Caenorhabditis elegans: one gene and its partners. The protein of the gene in region 3 purifies or fractionates together with the protein of the main gene of each other region. This does not show direct contact. Each region holds a gene or a part of one and is shown on either strand. Other genes may lie near its edges.

Evidence for each region.
Region 1: the proteins of rbm-28 (region 3) and glrx-10 fractionate together in Caenorhabditis elegans (co-fractionation; one large-scale study listed by BioGRID). This does not show direct contact.
Region 2: the proteins of rbm-28 (region 3) and cyn-7 fractionate together in Caenorhabditis elegans (co-fractionation; one large-scale study listed by BioGRID). This does not show direct contact.

What each region holds. Positions count from the first base shown.
Region 1 is NC_003279.8:1,045,278-1,052,615, reverse strand, and holds glrx-10 (Glutaredoxin-1), read right to left. Parts: upstream 3,021-7,338; 5' UTR 3,014-3,020; coding exon 2,930-3,013; intron 2,212-2,929; coding exon 1,978-2,211; 3' UTR 1,889-1,977; downstream 1-1,888. Other genes in the region: Y34D9A.8 (Low-density lipoprotein receptor domain class A), read left to right, coding at 1-47, 591-700, 1,487-1,692; Y34D9A.7 (PSP proline-rich domain-containing protein), read right to left, coding at 4,430-4,660, 6,038-6,274.
Region 2 is NC_003283.11:15,184,694-15,191,542, forward strand, and holds cyn-7 (Peptidyl-prolyl cis-trans isomerase 7), read right to left. Parts: upstream 2,686-6,849; 5' UTR 2,668-2,685; coding exon 2,599-2,667; intron 2,551-2,598; coding exon 2,299-2,550; intron 2,185-2,298; coding exon 1,990-2,184; 3' UTR 1,889-1,989; downstream 1-1,888. Other genes in the region: Y75B12B.1 (Mos1 transposase HTH domain-containing protein), read left to right, coding at 16-312, 358-578, 625-715; Y75B12B.3 (Transposase), read right to left, coding at 1,233-1,280, 1,331-1,567; bath-36 (BTB and MATH domain-containing protein 36), read left to right, coding at 3,781-3,887, 3,948-4,519, 4,569-4,852; cyn-3 (Peptidyl-prolyl cis-trans isomerase 3), read left to right, coding at 5,259-5,327, 5,378-5,629, 5,940-6,140; Y75B12B.11 (DUF7808 domain-containing protein), read left to right, coding at 6,616-6,685, 6,737-6,820. UniProt on the Caenorhabditis elegans protein: PPIases accelerate the folding of proteins. It catalyzes the cis-trans isomerization of proline imidic peptide bonds in oligopeptides.
Region 3 is NC_003280.10:14,853,208-14,861,946, reverse strand, and holds the start of rbm-28 (RRM domain-containing protein), read right to left. Parts: upstream 4,689-8,739; 5' UTR 4,687-4,688; coding exon 4,503-4,686; intron 4,440-4,502; coding exon 3,407-4,439; intron 984-3,406; coding exon 671-983; intron 1-670. Other genes in the region: R05H10.7 (aralkylamine N-acetyltransferase), read right to left, coding at 4,998-5,365, 5,423-5,633, 6,310-6,411; R05H10.1 (aralkylamine N-acetyltransferase), read right to left, coding at 8,446-8,739.

The DNA.
Region 1 (7,338 bases), on a different chromosome or scaffold from region 3:
ATTACGCAGTGCACCGACGGGTCCGACGAGTGGAATTGCGAAGCGAGGTTAGGTTGCAAACACGCTCCAATGAGAAATTGCTCCACGTGGTGCCATTATGGTTTGATCTACAAAAAATGCGGGATTTTTTTGGCCAAAAATATGTGACGTCAGCACGTTCTGAACCATGGGAAATCAGTTGAGAACTCTGCCGCATTTTTTGTAGATCAGCGTAGATCAAGCCGCAATGAGACACTCTGACACCACGTGCGGCTTGTAAAAATCAATAAATAGTCATTGCTGTGCGGTACATTTTTTCACGCTTGTTACGAAATAAAATTTATATTTTATATAGCATTTTGACGACATTTTCCTTATCAGTAAAATTATCAAATTTTCCACCCAATTCCTTGGCTCGTTTTTCCTCCAGTTTCCACTTCCTGTTGAAAAAAAAATCCAAAAAAAATCGATAAAATGGCGGATTCGCTTCTCTCGAATATTCTTCAACAGGAGATCACCGATTTTCCGGAGTTATTCGATATGGGGTTTGTGTACACAAATATGTAGAGTCTATTGCGCTCTATAAAAAATCAATAAAATCGATATTCCAGGGGCGGAGCGCCGATGGCTCGTGAGGGAGTTGCTCAACCACGACAGACAAATGTGCAGGCCACCGTAGCGGCGGTGAAGGAGACAACGACGATAACCGCTGAATCTTCAGGTATTATTGATTTTTCTTATTTCGAAGACTATATTACGCGAACGCGTATTGCACAACATATTTGACGCGCAAAATATCTCGTAGCGAAAACTACAGTAATTCTTTGAATGACTACTGTAGGTCGATTTACGGGATCTCGATTGTCGAAATGAATATATTTTCGAATAGCCACAGCGACATTCAATTTAAATTTTTAATTAATTTCAACAAATCAAGCGGCCGTAAATCAACAGAAGCGCTACAGTAGTCATAGTTTTCGCTACGAGATATTTTGCGCGTCAAATATGTTGTGCAATACGCATTCTCAGAATTTTGTGTTCCCTGTAATACTACGCCATACGAGCAAGATTCTGTTGAACTAGGACACACTGCATCTCACGCGCAAACTAATCCCAAACCTCAAAAAAACACTATATTTCACGCGCAATTGTTGCAAACTTTCAAATTGAAAGCCACCATATTACACCATATCTTACGCGCAAATTTAATTAAACTATGTAAAACCACGTGGCGCACCAGAGTGTCTCATTTCGGCTTGATCTACGTAGATCTACAAAAAATGCGGGAGAAGAGACGCAGAGTTCTTAACCGATTTCGCACAAAAATTCCCGCATTTTTTGTAGATCAAACCGTAATAGGACAGCCTGGCACCACGTGTGAAACAACATATCTTTTTTGAAAATTTTGCAGTAAATCTCATGGTATGCGCCAAAAATTAGCCAAACTTCGCAACACACCGAATTTTACGCGCATATTCATCAAAAACCTTTTTTTTTTAATTTTCAGGCACCGTCACAATCCAATACTCGCACATTTTCTTCGCCTTTGTCGCGTTTTTCGTTCTCTCGGTTGCCGTAGTCGCTGTGATTCGTCGGCGATCACGACAAAAATCCGGATTTCGAAATCGACGTGGCGGCGGGCACGGGGGCCCGAGCATACTGCAACAGGATTCCGACGAAGACGATATTCTAATCAGTTCTATGTATTCTTGAATTTCGTTTTTTTTTTGGCACGTGGGGTGCCAGGCTGTCCCATTACGGTTTGATCTACAAAAAATGCGGGAATTTTTTGCCCAGAAAAATGTGAGAACTCTGCGTCTCTTCTCCCGCATTTTTTGTAGATCAGCGTAGATCAAGCCGCAATGAGACACTCTGCTAACACCACGTGTTTTGGCTGTACTACTTTTCTCTCTTTTCTCACTTTTATCTCGGGTTGTGTCATTGAATTATGAAGAAAAAAATAAATCAAATACATAAAAATTAATGGCGATTCAAATTCTATAGAGCTCCGGTTTCCTTGAGCAGTGCGGCGAGTTTTCCGTTCTTGGCTCCGGCCGCTGTGTCGTCACCGCCGCCGAAGAACTTGCCGTTGATGAAGACACGTGGCACCGAGCGGGCTCCGGTTAGAGAGCCAAGATAATCCTGAATCTCATTGCAATCCTTGCGCTCGTCGATTTCGATCCATTGCAGAGCGTCGGGCTTCACGTTGACCGATTCAAGAGCAGCACGAGCCTGAAAAATTGGGGTTTTTTAATTTTTCTCAAAAAATTATTTTAAAAAATGTATCCGAGACTCAAAAATTTTGCAAAAAAAAGATTTTGAAAATGGATAATATTTTTCTCAATTTTCACGGATTTCTGGCTTCCCTCATAAATTGAAATGGAAGAGTTTTTGCCGAACTAGGCCATTTGGCTCGGCCATATCTGGGGTAGATTTACGGCGCGTTGCGTGTCGCGTCGCGGCTCGATTTCAGTTGTAAAACTAAATGTATTTGTCCGTGTGGAGTACACGACACTTTCCCACGCGTTGTCCGGCAGCCGATTGTCAATGGAGCGCGAAAAATTCAATGAGGAATGCCAGAACCCCGTGACAGATTTTTTCGCAAATTATTGATTTTTGCCGTTGTCTTCAATTTTCCGAAAATTTCTCAAAAAAAATCGCTACGAGACCCAAAATTTCTGCATTTTCAGAAAAATACAGAAATGTTTGATTTTTAAGTTAAATTGAATTTGCAAAATTTCATACTGGTGCAACTGCGCTCTGTTGCACACGATTTTTTAAAATAATTTTTTTTGGAATAAATTTTTCAAAAAAATTGGGAAATTTCGCTGAAAATCCAGAAAAAAGCAAATTTTTTAGGACAAAATTGTTCAGAAAAATTTTTTTTTTTTTTTGATGACAAAAAGCAATTTTCGAGGAAAATTCAAATTTTTCAGAAAAATTGTGTTACCTTATGGCAGTACGGGCAGTACGATTTGCTGAATACGACAACTTTGGAAGATTGGAGAAGTCCGTCGACAAAGGCTTTTGACATGGTTTTTCTGAAATTTTTTGGTGTTTTTTCTCAAATTTTTGTTGAAAAAAAAAGGCAATGAAGTATAAGAAAAGCGTAGAGACAATTTGAATTTGAAAAAAATTGGGGAAAAAAAAATTAGAAATCACATTATCATCAAATAAATAATATATATATATATATATTAAATTTACAAAAACAAAATTCTGCGATATTATATAAAAAGGGAAAACATAGGCTTTAAAAGCAGCAAAAACTGAAGAAAATGATGATAAAAATGAGAGTGGAAATAGTGTATGGAAATGAGAGAGTGGCGAGAGAAAAAGAGAAACGGCGGCGACAATGACGTAAGAATCATGACAAATAGTGTTATTAGGCGAGGAAAATTCGGGAAAAAATACAGTTGTGAAATACAGAAATTTATAAAAAAAATTTTAAAGAAATTTCGAAATTACCGCCGTGCGGTGGAGCACAAATGCATTTTTGATATTCGATTAAAAAAAAATTTTTTTTTAATTTTTGGGCTTTCTAAAGCTAAATGATTTTTTTTAACTTTAAGGAGTTTTTAAAAAATTTAAAAAAAGGCCTTGCAAATGCGCTTCATCGCAAATTTGATGGTAGAGATGAAAAATTGGAGAATTTGAAATTTTCACGTGGTGTCAGAATGCCTCATTTCGATTTGATCTACTTTGATCTACAAAAAATGCGCGGGGACTGATTTCGCATGGTTAAGAAAGCGCTGACGTCACAACATTTTTGGGCGAAAAACTCCCGCATTTTTTGTAGATCAAACCGTCGATGGGACAGCCCCTGGCACCACGTGAATTTTGGGAAAAAAAATTTTTAAAAGGTTTTTTTAAACGCTTTTTATTTTAGACAAATCACTTTTTTTTAATTTGAAAATTAGTTTTTTTGCACCAAAAAAATTTCAAAAATCGGAAAATTTTGAATTTTTGGGATCACTTTTACTTAAAAAAAAACTCGTTAATTCGGAAAATTTTACGATTTTTCTGAAAAAACTCTGCAAATGCGCTCCATCGCGAATTTGCTGGTAGAGATGAAAAATTGGAGAATTTGAATTTTTGGCGGTACTTTTTGCCGAGTTTTTGAGAGAATTCATCAACTTTTCACGAAAAATTGATATTTTTAACGCTTTTTCTGATGAAAATTGCAAAAAAAACCTTTAAAAATTGGGCTAATAACACTTTTTTCAATTAGAAAATTAAAATTTTTGGGATAATTTTTTCCTTTAAAAATCCCATTAATTTGGAAAATGTTACGCTTTTTATGAAAAAAAAATTCAAAAAAAAAATTCTGCAAATGCGCTCCACTGCAAATTTGTCAACCATGTGAAATTTTAATTTTTAGGATAATTTTAGGATAAATTTAGGCTAATTTTAAAGTCGAAAATCCAAAAAAAAAAAAAAAATCAATAAATTATTCCTTCTTCTTCATCTCATCATCTCCACTATTTCTTCCAGTGATCCCTTTCAAAGTACTCATAATTTTTTTGAAAATGCCACGTGGCTTCTCCTCCTCTTTCGCCTCGAATGGCACAATGCCGACGGAAAACGCTTCGAGCGATGGTACAGTATCCTCAATCCACGTACCCGTGACGTCACGGCGGGAGAAGATCGGGGTGCCGATGAATTCCGAAATTGATTCTCCCTGTGGAAAAATATTGTTATTTTTTGGAAATATATCAATTTTTGAAATATATCGACTTTTGAATCAGGTGGGTGGGCGGAAAACGATTTTTTCCGGCAAATCGGAAAATTGCCGGAATTGTAAATTTCCCGCAAATCGGCAAACTGGGAATTTGCCGGTATTCAACAAAATTCCGGCAATCGATTTTCTTATCCGTTTTTTTTTTTTGGAAAAATATGTTTTCTGAAAAGAAAAAATCGATAATCTGGAATTACATATATTGAAAAATATTGATTTCACCGGAAAAAAAATTTGGAAAAATTTTGGAAAGAAAAAATCGATTTTTGGACAAAAAACCTTGAAAAAAAAATTGGAAATCGATATTCTGGAGATATATATTTTTGGGAGAGAAATCGATGAAAATTTCAATTTTTTGGAAGAATATTGATTTTTAGAAAAAAAAAATTTTTTTACTGAAAAAAATGATTTTTTTTTTGAAAAATGCCGTTTTTTGAGAATATAGAATTCTTGGATTTTTTTTTTGATTTTTAGAAAAAATACCTTTTTTTCTGGAATAAAATTTAGATTTTATTTTGGAAAAATATAGCATTCTAGAGAAAAATATCAATTTTTTATTGAGAAAATTCAATTTTTTCTGGAAAAAAGTATAGACTTATAGAGAAAAATGTGTATTTTATTTTATTTTCAGGACATTTTTTTTTTTTGGAAAAAAATCGATAATCTATAAAGAATATCGATTTTCTGGAAAATATTTATTTTTGGTTAAAGGATAAAGATTTTTAGAAACGTTTTTTTTTTCAAAAAATAAAAATGAACTTGGAAAAAAGTTCATTTTTATTTTATTTTTAATATTTACTTTTCGAAAAAAACTTAAATAGTTTGGAAAATATTTATTTTTGGTTTAAAAAAAAAGTTTTTTTGAAAAATATCGAATTTTTTCAAAAAAAAATTGGTAAAAGTTGAAAGGATTTTGGAATTTTGGAAAAAAAACAGGTTTTTAAAAAAAATATCGATTTTTTTAAAATTTATATTTTTGGAAACCTTTTTTTTTACAAAAATCGATTGGAAAAAAATTTTTAGACAAAATAATTTAATATTTGCAAAATGAAAAGAATATCGATTTATTTTGAAAAAAGTATTGAATTTAGAAAAATATGGATTTTTTTTTTTGGAAAAATCGATTTTCTGGAAATTTTTTTACTGAAAAAAAAACTGGAAATATATAGATTTTTCGGAAAGTTATCGAATTTTTTTGGAAAAATAGATTTTCTTGAGAAAAAATTTTTTTTTGGAAAAATCAATATTCTGGAAAAAATGGTAAATGGCAAAATGATTGATTTTTGGTAAAAAATCGGTTTTTTTTTCTTTCAAAATTACCATTCTCCCAACGGGCTCCGGGGTCCCAGGCTTCTCCTCGACTGCCGCCGCCGCCGCTGCCACCTCCGATATGGTTTGATCTACAGTAACCTCCTTCTCCACCTTCTCTGCACTATCTCGTTGTTGTTGCTCCTCCTCCTCTTTCTGCTGTTCTCGGATCTTCCGAAGTTCGGATCGCTGGTGACGTTCCTCACGAATTCGGATTTTCTCGGTGCCCTCGTGATCTCTGGCAACTTCCTGGAATGACATTTTTTTTTAAGTGACATTTTTTTGAATTTCAGAAAAAAAAGTGTTTTTTTCAAATTTTTTCCAAAGCAAATGATTTTAGAGAAAAATCTATGAAAATTGGAGTGAAAATTAGACAGAAAATTGCAAAAACCAAAAAAATCAGAAATCTTTTGGATTTTGAACCTTTTTTTTGTGATTTTTAGCTTTAAAAAAAGTAGAAAAATCGGCAAAAATTTGTTTTAAAAAAATATTTTTTCAAGTTTTTATTTGAAAAACGTAAACTGAAAATTATAGCCAAATTATTGATATATTTTATTAAAGGTGGACTAGCGCCAGTGGGGAAATTGCTTTAAAACATGCCTATGGTACCACAATGACCGAATATCATGATAAAAAAATTCAAAAAAATTTTCTAAATTTTATATGATTTTTTGAAAATTGAAAAAATCCCAGTTTTTGCCTAATTCCTATTTGAATTTCCGCCAATTGGATTTGTTCGATGGAGCGCGCTTGCACGTTTTTAAATTTATCTATTTTATTTTTTGTTATTTTCTACCGATTTTTAAGGTTTTCGGTGTATTTTTGCTTGAATTTTAGAGAAAAAGTCAAAATAAATGCAAATTTTCGATTAAAAAGCACGCTTACAGGCGTAAAAATGAAAAAGTACCGATTTTAAACGATTTCGAATCTGAATTAATTAATTTCACTGATTTACGCCTGTAATCGTGTTTTTCAATCGAAAATTTGCATTTATTTTCACTTTTTCTTTAAAATTAGAGCAAAAATACACCGAAAACATTAAAAATCGGTGGAAAATAACAAAAAATAAAATAAAAAAATTTAAAAACGTGCAAGCGCGCTCCATCGAACAAATCCAATTGGCGGAAATTCAAATAGGAATTAGGCAAAAACTGAGATTTTTTCAATTTTTAAAAAATCATATAAAATTTAGAAAATTTTTTTGAATTTTTTTATCATGATATTCGGTCATTGTGGTACCATAGGCATGTTTTAAAGCAATTTCCCCACTGGCGCTAGTCCACCTTTAATAAAATATATCAATAATTTGGCTA
Region 2 (6,849 bases), on a different chromosome or scaffold from region 3:
TTTCATTTTCAGATTATGGCTTCTTCCTTGCGTACTGATCCAGCCTTCCTTCGCACATGTGTTCTCTACGAGGTGTTCAAGCTGAACACATTTTCTCAGGGATTCGCTAACTTCTGCAGCACGTTCGGAAACGACATCATGCATAATCGGGAATTCGAGTTCTGGCACAGACGTTTTTACGACGGAAATCACGATTTGGGTCTTGAGATCAGCTCACAAAATGCCATTGACCACGAGCTCGAACGTGCAAAGAATGGGCAAATCCTGAGATCGGATCCGTCACGTTCTGAGAAGAAAGCAAAGCACTTGGAGGTTTAAAAAATTTCAAATTTCTCGATTAACTCCTTTACTTTTCAGTTCATTACTTCTCCTCTGTGCAAAGATCCGGAATTCGTTCGTTCTTGCGTCCTCTACGAAGTTTTCAGTCTGAAAGACTCTACCCAAGGATACAAAGATTTCTGCGATGCTCTCGGAAACGAGTCTATGGGCGTCAGAGAGTTCGACTTCTGGTGGAATCGATTCTACAATGGTGATCATGATTTGTGTCTCGATATGACTGCCGCAGTCACTTTGGGAAGGCAAATATATAATAAGCTTCATCAAAATAAATTGTTAGTTTTGTAGCTCCGGACAAGACGATGGCTTCACAAATGATGGAGAGGCTGAAGAGACTTCGCAGCTTCAACGTGTTTCTGGAGATTCTGTGGAATGGTAGGGTTCTGGGGTTGAATGCCCTAATAATTGAGAATTTCCAGAAATACTTGCAAATTTATGATGATTACGGTGATTTTTCGGATGAGGAGGAGCACGTGCTGAAGATGTGCAAATTCGGAGAGCCTGCTATCAGAGAGTTCATTGTCGCGAACTTTTCGGCTGAAGAGATCGTCGATTTCAGATCTCAAGTATGTTTTCAAAAAGCCTTCTCACAATAAATGTTCCAATTTTCAGCTTCACGATAATCTGGAAGAATACGAAGAGAAGAACAAGCCATCTCTCATCAAAAAGCTCGTCGGAAAGATAAAAGGGATCGGCGCTCGGAGAGATGATGACTCGGATTCCGAAGAGGATTCGGAAGAGAGCTCCGACGAGGACTAAAATCATTCTTGTGTACAACCCAAACCTACTAACCCGCACATTATTTTCTGAAATAGCTTGCCACAATTGTAAATAAATATTAGCGCCTGTAATACTCTTGTAACTGGAAGAAAGTTCATTTAAGAAAATATCAAAAATTAGAACAACTTCTTGAATGGATTTCCTTGTTGCCCGCCGAGTTTGCTCTGAAAATGGAGAGACTACTGGAGCTTTATTAAAAAGGTATTCAACTAACCAAGTTCTCAATCTTCGCCTGAAGCTCGACGATTTTCTTCTGCAAGTTGTCCAAATCACCACGAGACTCCTTCAATTTCTCCAAATTCTCCGACTTTTGCTCATCCGAAACTTCCGGATTGTTGACCTGCTGCTCATACAACTGTTTGGCCGATTCATAACCAGACTTGCTCGATTCATAGATCTTCTTAATGTTCTCCAATCGAAGTTTTTCATTATTAAGAATCTCGGGAAACATTTCTAGGAATCTGACAAGTGAGAATAACCAAAAGAATGTGAAGAGCTGGCAACAATGCCTACATTTTATGCTCGAAATCTGAATATTTGCACAATTTACAGCTTTTCCTCTAACAATTCCATTTTATGTGTTTACTCTTCACGAGTCAACAGAGTTCGAACGGTTGTCTGAAATTCAGGATAGAATGCGCAGAGATTGGAACAAAATGACGGAAATCGACGCTTTCAATCGCTTCTACAATGTTACAGTTCTCTCCAAGCTGTTGAGAACAATTCACGAAGGCTTCCTCGAGTACGACCCATGTAACTGAACAACTATATTCTTTTCGAGCAATTTATTGATGATCAAGATGAAAAAGTGAAGCAATAAACAGGGTTGGATGGGGTGATTGAAAAGAAGAAAAGTTCTCACGGAGAACAAATTTAGAGCTGTCCGCAGTCGGCGATGAGGCACTCGGACTTTGGAGTTCCGGAGCTGCTTCCGTTGCCCTCGACCTTGCTGACGATGTCCAATCCTTCGACGACACGTCCGAAAACGACGTGCTTTCCGTCGAGCCAGGCAGTCTTGACGGTGCAGAGGAAGAATTGAGATCCGTTGGTGTTTGGTCCAGCGTTAGCCTGAAGAAAAACAATGAAACTTATCAGCCAGTGGATAACAGTTAAGAAACTAGATAATGCTTCTTTTCTATCAGTTTATGCTGTCTTTCAATCTGGCTAGGCAACATAACTTACCATGGAAAGGACTCCTGGTCCGGTGTGCTTCTCCTTGAAGTTCTCGTCTGGGAACTTCTCTCCGTAGATGGATTCTCCTCCAGTTCCGTTCCCGCGGGTGAAGTCTCCTCCCTGGATCATGAATTCTGGGATGATACGATGGAACTTGGATCCCTTGAAGTGGAGTGGCTTTCCGGACTTTCCGACTCCCTTCTCACCAGTGCAAAGAGCACGGAAGTTCTCAGCGGTTTTTGGAACAATATCGTTGTAGAGCTGAAAATAAGATTTAATTTCATGAAAAAAGATCAGTGTTTTGTTTACCTCCATAACGATACGTCCGGTTGGTTTTCCGGCGATGGTGATGTCGAAGAAGACTCTTGGGCGGCTCATTTTCAGGTAGGGTAATCACTAAAATGCTTGAGTTATAGTTGAGAAATATGTATGAGATAGGTATATCTACAGAGGTGCGGCAAACACGCTCTGCGGTAATAGAGCGGGAATCAATCAAAGTTAAAAATATAAACAAAGCACCATAAGATACAAGGAAGAAGCACACGGATGAGCTATATACTGAAATGGAGTGAATTAGCGCACTAAAACAGAAAATTTTAGGCCCAACTAAATTAATTTTCCTGTTGGGCCTAAAATCTGCCGAAAGACGTGATTCAACAAGGATTAAACGACAGTTGCACATCAAAAAAGTTCTTAAATAATTTTCAATTGATTTTAATTCATTTTAATAAGCGAAACTATAAAAATTCTGACAAAATCAACAAATTAGGCGACGAAAGAGAGAAGAAATGAGCCGTTCGCTTCTAGAATTTTCCGACGTAAACAACAAAGTCCGCAAAAGTGTCTGCGTACCCGACACCCAATCATACGACATGCGCCATATCTGACGACACTTTCGCTGTGTTTCCCGCCTTTTGTCAACACTTTCACCGTGCGCCTGTGTTTTCAAATGATCGTACACAAAACAACAGAACGGCGCCGAAATTGATAACAATTTTTGTAGGCAATAAAAGATTACATTGAAAAACCGGTCATTGATATCAGTTCGATCATCACCACGGTCTTCACGAAAAGAAGGAGAAATATCGAGATGATTTAACATTGAGAAACATTGAGAACATTTTAAATTGCTAAATAGATCACAAATTAATCCAACAGTTTTTCATTTTGTTGAATGCTTTCGAGATCGATTGAGCTAAATATGAAGCTCTGCATGTGACGGGTATCTGCGAAGCGGTTCGTCAAGATTAGCTTTGCTTATCCGCTAAAAAATAATCTTTTCGTACAAGGACAAAATAAAATCTGCACAAAATACATCGTGATGTGCTAAAAATGGTTAATGTGAAAGTCCTAGAAATAGACCAATAAACTTTATAAATTTTGACTGGTCTCGAAGCCATTTAGTGTACTGTAGGTGAGAGCATTGCTCAGCTTAAATTGTTTGTTTCAAATTCTTCTTCATTGTTCAAATTAAATTTATCACAAGATAAAATGTCTGGAAAAGACAATAAAGGATCAATTCGTTTTGAGATTCAAAATTTTTCTGGCTTGGCGAAGGCGACGGAGCACAAACCAGTGCAAATTGGACACGTAGAATGGTTAGTGAATTTTAATGAAACAAAAAATGTTCTAAATTATTTAAAATATTATCTTTTAAGGATTCTTGGAGCATTCACAAGCACTTCCGACGCTACGAACAATGCTAAACATCTCGGAATTCACCTGAAATGCAACGAGGAACTGCGCAGCAACTTGTGGTCCTGCGATGCGTCAATTCGTTTTTCACTTCTGAGACTCAATTCAAACGAGGATGATGACGCGTTTTCGATGGAGTTTCAGCAAAAGTTCGACGACTTGAACAAGATTGTGGTGGTCAACAATTTTAAAAATTGGGAGGAAGCCATCTGCTACGATAATCGATTTGTGCTCGATAAGCATGCCGTTCTTGAAGTCCAAATTACTGTCAACAAGATTGCCGGAATTCATGAGAGGATTATCGAGACTTTCGATCAACCCAAGGAACATCTTACCGATGTTGTGCTGGTGCTTGAAGGAAAACATGTCCATGTTGGCAAGCAAGTGCTCGCAACGAGCTCGCAATTCTTCCAAAAAATGTTCTATTCGAATTTCGCCGAAAAGACACAGGCTGAGATCAAAATCGATGATGTGACCCACTCTGAGTTTATCGATTTGCTCAATGTGATCTACCCCACTCACATGCTCATTAATAGTAAGTTCTTTTTTTTATTTGAGGCTTGGAATTATTAACGGATTTTCAGGTTCCAACGTGTCTCACTTGCTCAAGCTGAGCGATAGATTCGCGGTGCCAAGAGTTCTGGAAAAGGCTGAAACGTTTTTGATTTTGGACCAAAAGACCCACTTGATCGACAAGCTGAAGTTCGCCGAAGTCTACAGACTCTCAAGGCTTCAAAATGCATGCCTTTCGCAATTGGAGACCAGCGAAGATGTTACTGCGTTGAAGCATCACGAAAATTATAAATCTCTCGATCATATAACCTACAATGCGTTGCTTCAGAAGCTCATTGATCTTTTGGAAGATTAGCTCCAAGCTTTGTTGAATTTGTTGTTGATAAATTCTGTTGTTGATTTCAGTTTTCAAAACTGCAGATTATTTTTTGTTAAGGAGAAGGTAAAAATACCGCGAAGAACTGTTAATTTTTGATTGGTTAAAAAACTCAAATTTAAACTACCACCAAAAAGAAGAATGTAAGCACGCTCTGCTGATGAAAGAAAACCTTATTCAAACTTCGCGGTCTCACAAATTATCAACGGAGCGAACATTCTGACCCCGCCCACAAATCGAAATTTCTCTGCCGCTCTCCATTTCGGTCCCATTTTTTGAATTTTCATGCGAATTCACTGTTTTTTATTCAGATTTTTTATCGATTTTCGTTTAAATTATGTAATTTTTATGATTTTTCAGTAATTTCCCTATTCTTGCCTCAACAATGAGCCGCTCAAAGGTCTTTTTCGACATCACCATCGGTGGTAAGGCTTCCGGACGTATCGTCATGGAGGTTTGTGAAATTTTGGCTATTTTCATCTTCAATAAATAAATTTTTTACAGCTTTACGATGACGTTGTCCCAAAGACCGCCGGTAATTTCCGCGCTCTCTGCACCGGAGAAAATGGAATCGGAAAGTCTGGAAAGCCACTCCACTTCAAGGGATCCAAGTTTCATCGCATCATCCCGAACTTCATGATCCAGGGAGGAGACTTCACCCGCGGAAACGGAACTGGAGGAGAATCCATCTACGGAGAGAAGTTCCCAGACGAGAACTTCAAGGAGAAGCACACCGGACCAGGAGTCCTCTCCATGGTAAGCAAATCGTCAGCTGAATCTGTTTGAAGTTCGAGAAAATGTTTTTTTCTGCTCAATTTGGGAAAAATATCACTGTTTGTTCTCCGAAAAGAGGGAAAACTGAAGATTTCTAAATGTTGCTTTTCCGGAAATTGTCGTATCTGTGAGAGACGCAGACATATCTCACAGCACGTTGTGTGTAGGATGGAGTGCTGAGCCGTTGTTAGGAGAAATTGAATGATTTATGAGAAAGAGCAGCTGAATGTATCAGTCTCAAAAAATATCAGAATTTTTGTCTGTCTCGAAAGTAATATTTTCAACATTTCAGGCTAATGCTGGACCAAACACCAACGGATCTCAATTCTTCCTCTGCACCGTCAAGACCGAGTGGCTCGACGGAAAGCACGTCGTTTTCGGACGTGTCGTCGAAGGATTGGACGTCGTGAAGGCTGTCGAATCCAACGGATCCCAATCCGGAAAGCCAGTCAAGGACTGCATGATCGCTGACTGTGGACAACTCAAGGCATAAATTAATTGCACCCGAAATCTCCTTCATCTCTTGATTATATATTTTCAGTATTCAACTAATCCATATTTTTCTCATAAACCTCAGTTATCCCCGATTGTTCCTTTGAAGAAACCCAGGTCTCATTGAGAAAAAAAAAAGAAATCAGCTCAGACGTTGCGCATATTTCCATCTTCTGGCGAAAGGCGCGACGTTGGGTCCCGCCTTTTCAGGCGACATCACAATCCGATCGCCTCGGCCACTGCACAAGTCATCGATCACCGCTGAGGAGTTGAACCCGCGTCTGTTGTTTGAAGACGGCGCGCTTTACCACTGAACCACTCGGTCGCGAATAGTAGTGCGCCGTTGTGTACCTATAAAAGTGTGCGTAGGCAAGCAGAGAGGAATAATGAAGCGGAGAGTTTCAGAACCGGATTTCAGCTTTATCTAATACTTGAATCTACATGCAACATCCATTCAGATTTTAATTCAATCTTTAATGAATCGCATCTACTATTTATTGTCGCTTTTAATTTTTCTAAACACTATAAACTCTCTTTATCAATGGGGTAATTTTTAAAAGATTAAATTTTTTTGAATTGACATTAAAAATTTCTCAGAAAATCGGATTTTAAAATGTGAAAACGCCAACTGCTCTCTTCAAAAAACCGGCGAAGAATTTAAACCTGCAGTTTGTGAGAAAGGTCGTCTTTTTATTTGAATAAACTTTTGA
Region 3 (8,739 bases):
AGCTAATTTTAGTGAAAATCCTGGATTTTTAAAATTATTTTTTATATTTTTTTCCGATTTTTAAAACTTAGCCAATTTTTTGGCCAAAATTTGTGAAAAATTTTGTGAAAAATTGCTGAAAATCAGGGAAAAATGGCCGAGACACGGGATTTTTTCGAGATTTCGCCGTTTTTAGTGAAAAAATGGCTGGCAGTCTGGGAAAAATTATCGAAAAACGGGATTTTCAAATAATTTCGCCGTTTTTTGGTGAAAAAAATTGCTGAAAATCAGGGAAAAATGACCGATAACCGGGATTTTTTCAAATTTTCATTGTTTTTTAGTGAAAAAAATGGCAGAAAATCTGAGAAAAAATGACCGATAAATTGGTTTTTCACAGAATTCCGCCGATTTTTAATGAAAAAATGACTGAAAATCCGGAAAAAATGACCAAGAAACGGGATTTCCACAGATTTTTTGCCGATTTTTTAATACTAAAATGGCTGAAAATCTGTGAAAAAATGACCGATAACCGGGATTTTTTTGAAATTTATATTCAAAAAAAAAGATTTCTTTTTCAGAAGTTTGGTGTTTTTTTTTGTGAGAAAAATCAATTTTTTTTTTGGCAAAATTGACAAATTTTAAGCTAATTTTAGTGAAAATCTTGGATATTAAAATTATTTTTTTCACGTACTCTGGCCTGCAAGGCGAGCAAATTCTCCACAGAAAATTCGACAATCGGACGATGATCCTTGTGGAACGTCTCCGCATTATTATTGAGCTTTTTGAGACATTCCAACGCGTGCATGTGCTCTTTAAATGCCACAAATCCGAATCCCGAAGATTTGGGCTTTCCATCAGGTGTCAGACGCTTCTTGTCCATCCAGACACGACATTCGGTGATCAGAGCTCCTGGTGACGTGAATTTTTGAGCCAGTTCTTTGAGCTTCACGTCGTTGATTTTCTGGGGGAGATTGTGAATGCAAAGACGGACTGGCGAGATGAACCTGGAATTTTTAGAGGTTTTTGCGGAAAAATTGGGGAAAACTGAAATTTTCAGTAGAAATTGAAAAAAAACTGGTGAAAAATTGACTTTTTATGGGATTTTTCCAATTTTTTTCTTCAAAATAATTTTTAAAAACATTTTGGAATGGAAACTATATTTTTGGTCAATTTTGCAGATAAATTGAGTTTTAAAACGAGAATTTTTAATTTTTTTTTTTTTTGGAAAAAATTGAATTTACAAACGAAACTCCCAATTTTTATCCGACTTCCTACTGAAGACTGGTGAGAATTCATTTTTTCTGGGATTTTTTGTAACTTAGCCAATTTTTTGGCCAAAATTAGCGAAAATATCGAATATTTAGTGATTTTTAGCAATTTTTCAAATTTTGCTCAATAAGAAAACTATATTTTTGGTCGGAATTTTTCGATTTGCAAGAGTAAAAATCACTAATCTTTGTAAATTTCTTGCAATTTCAGAGAAAATGAGATTTTTCTCAACTTTTTGAGGGTAAAAATGAACATTTTAGCGAAAAATTCCAATTTTTGACGTGAAAAATGCGCATTTTGAGCGAAAAATAGCTAAAAACTGGATTTTATTCAAATTTGAAGAGATAAATTCCTTTTTTTCTACAAAATTTCCCTGTTTCAATTTTAAAAAAAGCCAATTCTTCGCTGTTTTTTAGTGAAAAATGGCTAAAAATCCGGGAAAATGACCGAGAAACGGGATTTTTTCGAAATTTCATATTTTTTCAGGGCAAAAATGGCTGAAAATCCGAGAAAAATGACCAACAAACTGGATTTTCACAGAATTTCACCGTTTTTTGGTGAAAAAAAATAGCTGAAAATCCGGGAAACATGACCACAAAACGAGATTTTTTCGAAATTTCATAGTTTTTTAGTGAAAAAAATGGCAGAAAATCCCGGAAAAATGACAGAGAAACGGTTTTTTTTTCAAAATTTCATTGTTTTCATTGAAAAAATGACTGAAAATCAAGGAAAAATGACCGAAAAACGGGATTTTTTCGAAATTTTACCGTTTTTTTTTTGTGAAAAATTGCTGAAAATCAGGGAAAAATGGCCGAGACACGGGATTTTTTCGAGATTTCGCCGTTTTTTAGTGAAAAAATTACTGAAAATCAGGGAAAAATGACCGATAACCAGGATTTTTTCGAATTTTCATTGTTTTTTAGTGAAAAAAATGGCAGAAAATCTGAGAAAAAATGACCGATAAATTGGTTTCTCACAGAATTCCGCCGATTTTTAATGGAAAAAATGACTGAAAATCCGGAAAAAATGGCCAAGAAACGGGATTTCCACAGATTTTTGCCGATTTTTTATACTAAAATGGCTGAAAATCAGTGGAAAAAATGACCGATAACCGGGATTTTTTTTGAAATTTCGCCGTTTTTTGGTGAAAAAATGCCTGAAAATCCGGAAAAAATGGGATTTTTTTCGAAATTAATCATTTTATAGTGAAAAAATAGCGGAAAATTAGAGAAAAAATGGCCGAGAAACGGAATTTTTTTCGAAATTTTATCGTTTTTTAATGAAAAAATGGCTGAAAATCCGGAAAAAAATAACCGAGGGACGAGATTTTTTCGAAATTTCAACGGATAAATTTAATTTTCACATAATTTCACCGTTTTTTTTAATGTGAAAAATGGCTGAAAATCAAGTAAAAATGACCGAAAAACGGGATTTTCACAGAATTTCGCCGTTTTTTTTGTGAAAAAATGGCTGAAAATCCAGAAAAAAATAGGATTTTTTTCGAAATTAATCGTTTTATAGTGAAAAAATAGCGGAAAATTAGAGAAAAAATGGGTGAAAAACGGAATTTTTTTCGAAATTTCATAGTTTTTTAGTGAAAAAATGACCGATATTTTTTTGGAATTTTTTTGAAATTTTGCCGTTTTTTAGTGAAAAAATGCCTGAAAATCCGGAAAAAATGGGATTTTTTTCGAAATTAACCGTTTTATAGTGAAAAAAATAGCGGAAAATTAGAGAAAAAATGGCCGAGAAACGGAATTTTTTTTCGAAATTTTATCGTTTTTTAATGAAAAAATGGCTGAAAATCCGGGAAAAATAACCGCAAAACGAGATTTTTTCGTACCTTCGTCGTTTTTTTGTGAAAAAATGGCTGAAAATCCGGAAAAAAATAACCGAGGGACGAGATTTTTTCGAAATTTCAACGGATAAATTTAATTTTCACATAATTTCACGGTTTTTTTTTAAATGTGAATAATGGCTGAAAATCAAGTAAACGTGACCGAAAAATGGGATTTTCACAGAATTTCGCCGTTTTTTTGTGAAAAAATGGCTGAAAATTCGGGAAAAATGACCGAAAAACGGGATTTTTACAGAACTTCGCCGTTTTTTTTTGTGAAAAAATGGCTGAAAATCCGATTTTTCTTCAGGAAACCCTCACATATTCGTGTTCTCGAGCTTCTTCCTCATCGCCTCAGCAATTCTCTCCCTCTTCGCCGCATCATCCTTACTCATCCCGGCCGCCGCCGCAGTTCCATCACGAATCAGTCCAAATCTGGCCAATCTCAAATTTCTCTTGTCTTTTGGCACCTTGGTGAGCTTCTCCTTCTCCATATCAGCCGCCTCTTTCCTCGGAATCGCCAGATTCGCCTTCACAAGCCTATTATCAATAATAACACCGTCTTCGACACCCTCAATACAGTTGGAAGCCTCAATTGGTGTGGAAAAATGGACGAATGCGGTTCCCTTGGAGTGGCCACTGTCCTTGTACTTGCAAATGATGGCGAGATCGATTTTTCCGAACTTGGAGAGCTCTTCCTTGATGAGCTCTTCCTTGGTGTCGTAGGACAGATTTCTCAGGAACACCACCTTCCCCTCTGTGATAGATTCGTCGGTTTTGAGCTGGGCTTTTGGATTTTTTGGTTTCTTAGCTGGTTCTTCGTCATCCTCGTCGTCTTCGGAAGCTTCGGAAGCTTCGAAAGCTTCTGATCCATCCTCCGAACCTTCGGATTCCTCCTCACCCTCTTCCTCATCGAATTTCTTGCTCTTCTCCTCCGGCTTCTCGTCCTTCTCCACTTTCACCACTTTCTTCAAATGCTGCTTCTCCTCATGAGCATTCGTCTCGTAAGTGTCCTTATCCAGCGCCCAATCCGCAGCCACCGACCTGCCGAGCACCTTATTCGTGTTGAAAAACTCGCGGCCCTTCTCCGCGTCGGCCTTCTCGACAAACTGGATGAAGCCGAAGCCTGCGCAAGTTTTTGGGTCCTTTCTCGACGGTGGAAGCACGATTTCCACGAATTTTCCGATATTTGAGCATAAATTCTGCAGATCCTCCTTTTTTGTCTTGAATGGAAGGTTTCTGATGATAAGACGCCACTCTTTCAGCTTTGCCTGCTCGAAACGCTTCCGAATCGCTGATTTTTCACCTTCAGTGGCTTCTGGCCTCGCACGTTTTTGGAGAGGCTCGCGGTTTGCTGAAAAAACACGAAATTATTTTAAAAATTGATTTTTTAAAATTAAAATCAGGGAGTTCTTACGATTTCTGTGCTCAAATTGCTCTGTTTCAGCGTATTTTTGCTCCCCATCCTCCTCACAATCATTGTAATTTCGTTTTTGGCTGTATCCGCCGTAGCCTCCGCCATAGCCTCCTCCATAGCCTCCTTCATAACCTCCACCAGAAGAAGAATTATACCCATAACTCCTGAATCCACCGCGACTCATTTCTGAAAATATAATTTTTTCTAAGCAAAAGTAACTTTAAAACTTGAAAAATACACTGGAAAACGTAAAATATTTGGTGGAAAAACGAAAAAACGAAAAAAATAAAATAGAAAAAATGGCCGAGAAGTGTGCGAAACCTAGGCCGGCGGCCGGCAGGGACTCGGCCACCGCAGCGGGAAATTGAAATTTAATATATTTTACTATTAATATTATTATTTGAGGTTTAAATACGCATAAGAAGAACAAATTTACTGAAACACAATTTTATTAAGTGAGGGCCTGCCCTAACTTGAAAAAAATAAAAACACAAATTAATCCAAAATTTCAAAATCGCCGATAAGCTTGAAGTTAAGCTTCAACTCCGTGGATCCGTCATCCGTTTTCAAAATCTGATTTCCTTGAGAATCCACAATGCCGGTGTAGGGTATCGTCTTGAGACACTTGAAGCCATGTTTTTCCAGAAGAACCTGATTTCCGAAGGAACACGTTTCAGAGAGCACACCATCAATTGAATATTCGTCAAGTTTGGCTTTTGGCATATTGGTTGTGAGCATTTTCGTAGCGATTCCACGTCGCTGATACTTTTCCGATACACTTGAGACTTCACGGTGGAGCACTACATTTATGTTTTGGGGAGCTAGATTCCAGAAATCTTCGTGGCATGTGTTGAGCATTTTGACTGAAAGATTATCAAATTTTGGTGGATTTTGCTGTACTTCAATTAAAAGAAACGTACTAAAAGCAGTCATATTCTCTGTCAACCCTTCATCAACTTCATAATCAGCACCCTCCACAGCATTATCATCTCGTTTCCAGGCAGAATTCACCAGGCAAGCCACAATTTCTCCGCTCTGTGTAGTGACTACTGTTGAGAATGGGAATTGGAGGCATCTCGCCACCAGCGATTCGTAGAGTACCTCCGCTTCAGATTTGATTAGTTTTAGGGCCTGGAGATGAAATAAAATTAGGCCTAGTTCAAGTTTGGCAAATTCGGTAATTGAAAAATTGTCGGTTTGCCGTTTTGTCGGAAATTTTGAATTCCGGCAATTTTTCGATTTGCCAGAAATTTTGAATTCCGGCAATTTGTCGATTTGCCAGAAATTTTGAATTCCGGCAATTTGTCGATTTGCCGGAAATTTCAATTCCGGCAATTTGCCGATTTGCCGTATATTTCAATTCGGGCAATTTGCCGATTTGCCGGAAATTTTAATATCCGACAATTTGCCGATTTCCTGGAATTTTTCAATTCCAGCAATTCGCCGATTTGCCGAAAATTTTCAATTTCGGCAAATCGCCAATTTGCCGAAAATTTTCAATTCCCGCAAATCGCCGATTTGCCGGATATTTTCAATACCGGTAAATTGCCGATTTGCCGGAACTTTTCAATTCCGGCAATTTTCCGATTTGCCTGAATTTTTCAATTCCGGCAATTTCCGATTTTCCGGGAATTTTCAATTCCGGCAATTTGTCGATTTGCCAGAAATTCTCAATTCTGGCAATTTGCCGATGTGTTACTGTAGAAATACTGCGCTGGCCTTATCTGTACATGTTAGGCCATCGTGGCGGGACCCACTTGGTTCAAATAAAAAATAAAAATAATCTGGATGGGTTACTGTAACTCACCCTGGTACACGGCTCCAGCGGGAAATAGTGCTCCAGTAGAAAATTCAAAACATCAGGCGCATCTGACTTCTTCGCCAGACGGTAGATAAGTTCTTCTGGCATATTTTTTCTGAAATTTCAAAAAATTTACAGTGACTTTTGTACTCATGTCGATAGTGTCCACGTGTTCCATCACATTTCTAGAGAACAAAAATTGGCAAGGAAATTATGCTCCGCCCATATTCTGCAAGTGGTAGGACGGTGGTGATAACTGGGAAATTTGAGAGCAGAAAAAAAAATTTTGAATCGACAATTTTGAAATTTACGAAAAATGTTACCAAATCAGGACTAGACAAGGACATACATTTAAAATTTTTAAACTAAATTTAAAAAACGACAAGCCGACGTCAATATTTCTGTGGCGTTGCTTATCTTTTTAAATAATAATTTAAATTGAAAAACAAAACAAAATTCAAAACTGTCGAGCTACAACTGTTAATGAAGGGTGTTCTAACTTTACTGTAAATGAATTACCATCATTGCTATGATAGTGTGAAACTAAATAACTTGAAATTGCATTTGTCACTGAAAACTAGCTCTGAAAAAGTATAAAAATGTTTTTTCAAACTCTAAAAAAATTCCCACGGTTTTTATTTTTATGGCGTCTGAATAGTCTTTGATTTTTTTTTCTTTTTTAACAATGAACACAATAATGTTTCGCGACTGATGTTTTTTGCGTAAATAGGTCTGAAATCATCAGAGTCGAAGAAGAAAATAATTTTCAATTCCAATCAGAGATCAGTCACAGGTAATCGGAAATATCAAGGATCAGAAAAATCTCACCAGTTAATATTAATTTAATAATGTTAATTTAATACTAAGTTCTAGGATATTGTTGTTTCCAAAATTTGAACAAAGCGCTGTAATTTTTGAACTTCCTGTCTAAACTTTAACGTGTCAATCAAGAAACTTTAATTTTTGACCTGAGATCAATGTTTGATTATTTTCGACTTTTTGCCAGTTTGGCCATGCTCTTACAATTCAACAAAAAAATATTCAAACTGCCACTCACAGAGATTAAGAACCAGACATTAGTTGATATGAAGTGCACATTGGTATAGTATTTGTGGACGATCACTGTTTCAAAAACCAATTTTTTTGCAGAGTTTTGGAGAGACAGGTGATAACTTTTTGTTTTATAAGGTGATCTCTGAGTTTGTTCACCAAAACAATATAGAACTCAGGGGTCAGATGGCAATTGCCGGAAATTTCAATTCCGGCAATTTGCCAATTTGCCGAATTTGTCGGAAGTTTAAGGGATTTTTATAAGACGAAAACACTGTGCCTTTTTGAAATTTTTTGCTGTTTTCTTTAGATATTTTCATAGAATTTACTTACTTTTCAAAATAGATATATGAACATTGATAGGATGCGTACAACTTTGCTGATTAAAAATGAAATTCTGAAATTTCCAAAAAAGTGCCAAATCACAATTTGCCGAAAAATTTTCGGCAATCACAGTGTTTCTGGCAAATTCGGCAACTCGGCAATTTGTCGGAAATTTTCAATTCCGGCAATTTTCCGATTTGCCGGAAAATTCTGAAATTCAAATTCTAACATTTTCAAGCCAAAAAAAAGTTTTTTTCCGGTCGACTTTGAAAATAAAGGAGAAAGTAGGTAAACACTGAGATTTCACTATTTATGATTTGGAGGTACTTCGTAATTTTTTTCTCTAAAACCTGGAAAATTGAAAGTTTTAGTGAAAATTTCCAAAAAACCACAAGGGACTATGGCATACAGGTGTTTTTGAACTATTTGTCTTGTGCTTTCAGTTTTATAATAAATTCGTGAACATTCCGGGTTCTAGATTCTGAATAACACAATAGTTATTTGCAGAAAATTAAAAGTCAAATATTGTACAGTCTCAACCTTTGTTCCACGTCCCTCTTATCTTTCTGGCAGACATTTTTTTCCCAAAAAAAATCCCCAATTCTGTCACATGCCACCGTTATCACTTTTTTGAATGGTTCGTTTCAACGTCGAGTCGTTTTTTTAACCAATTCCCAATTTACTGGATGTTATCAGTAGGGCGATCGAATTGGAAGGGTCTACAAAAAATAGAAAGTAAGAAAAAGGGAATAAGAGAATGAGAAATTTTCAGGACGAAACTGAAGTTGCCACATTCTGGAAAGTAGCAGATTTTGGGGGTTCCATTTCACAGGGTCCATTTCCCGATTTTTCGATTCTCTTGAAGTTGATCCGCATTCCATGGGATCCATCATCAGTCTCCACCAGTTTGTCCCCGTTACTGCTCACAATTCCCGAATATGGAAATTCCTTCAAACACTGGAACCCATTTTTTGCCAACAGAGTCTGATTGGCGAATGATGACGTGGCAGATACGATTCCATCTACGTTGTGAAGCCTAGCAGCCGACATGTTCCTGGAGAG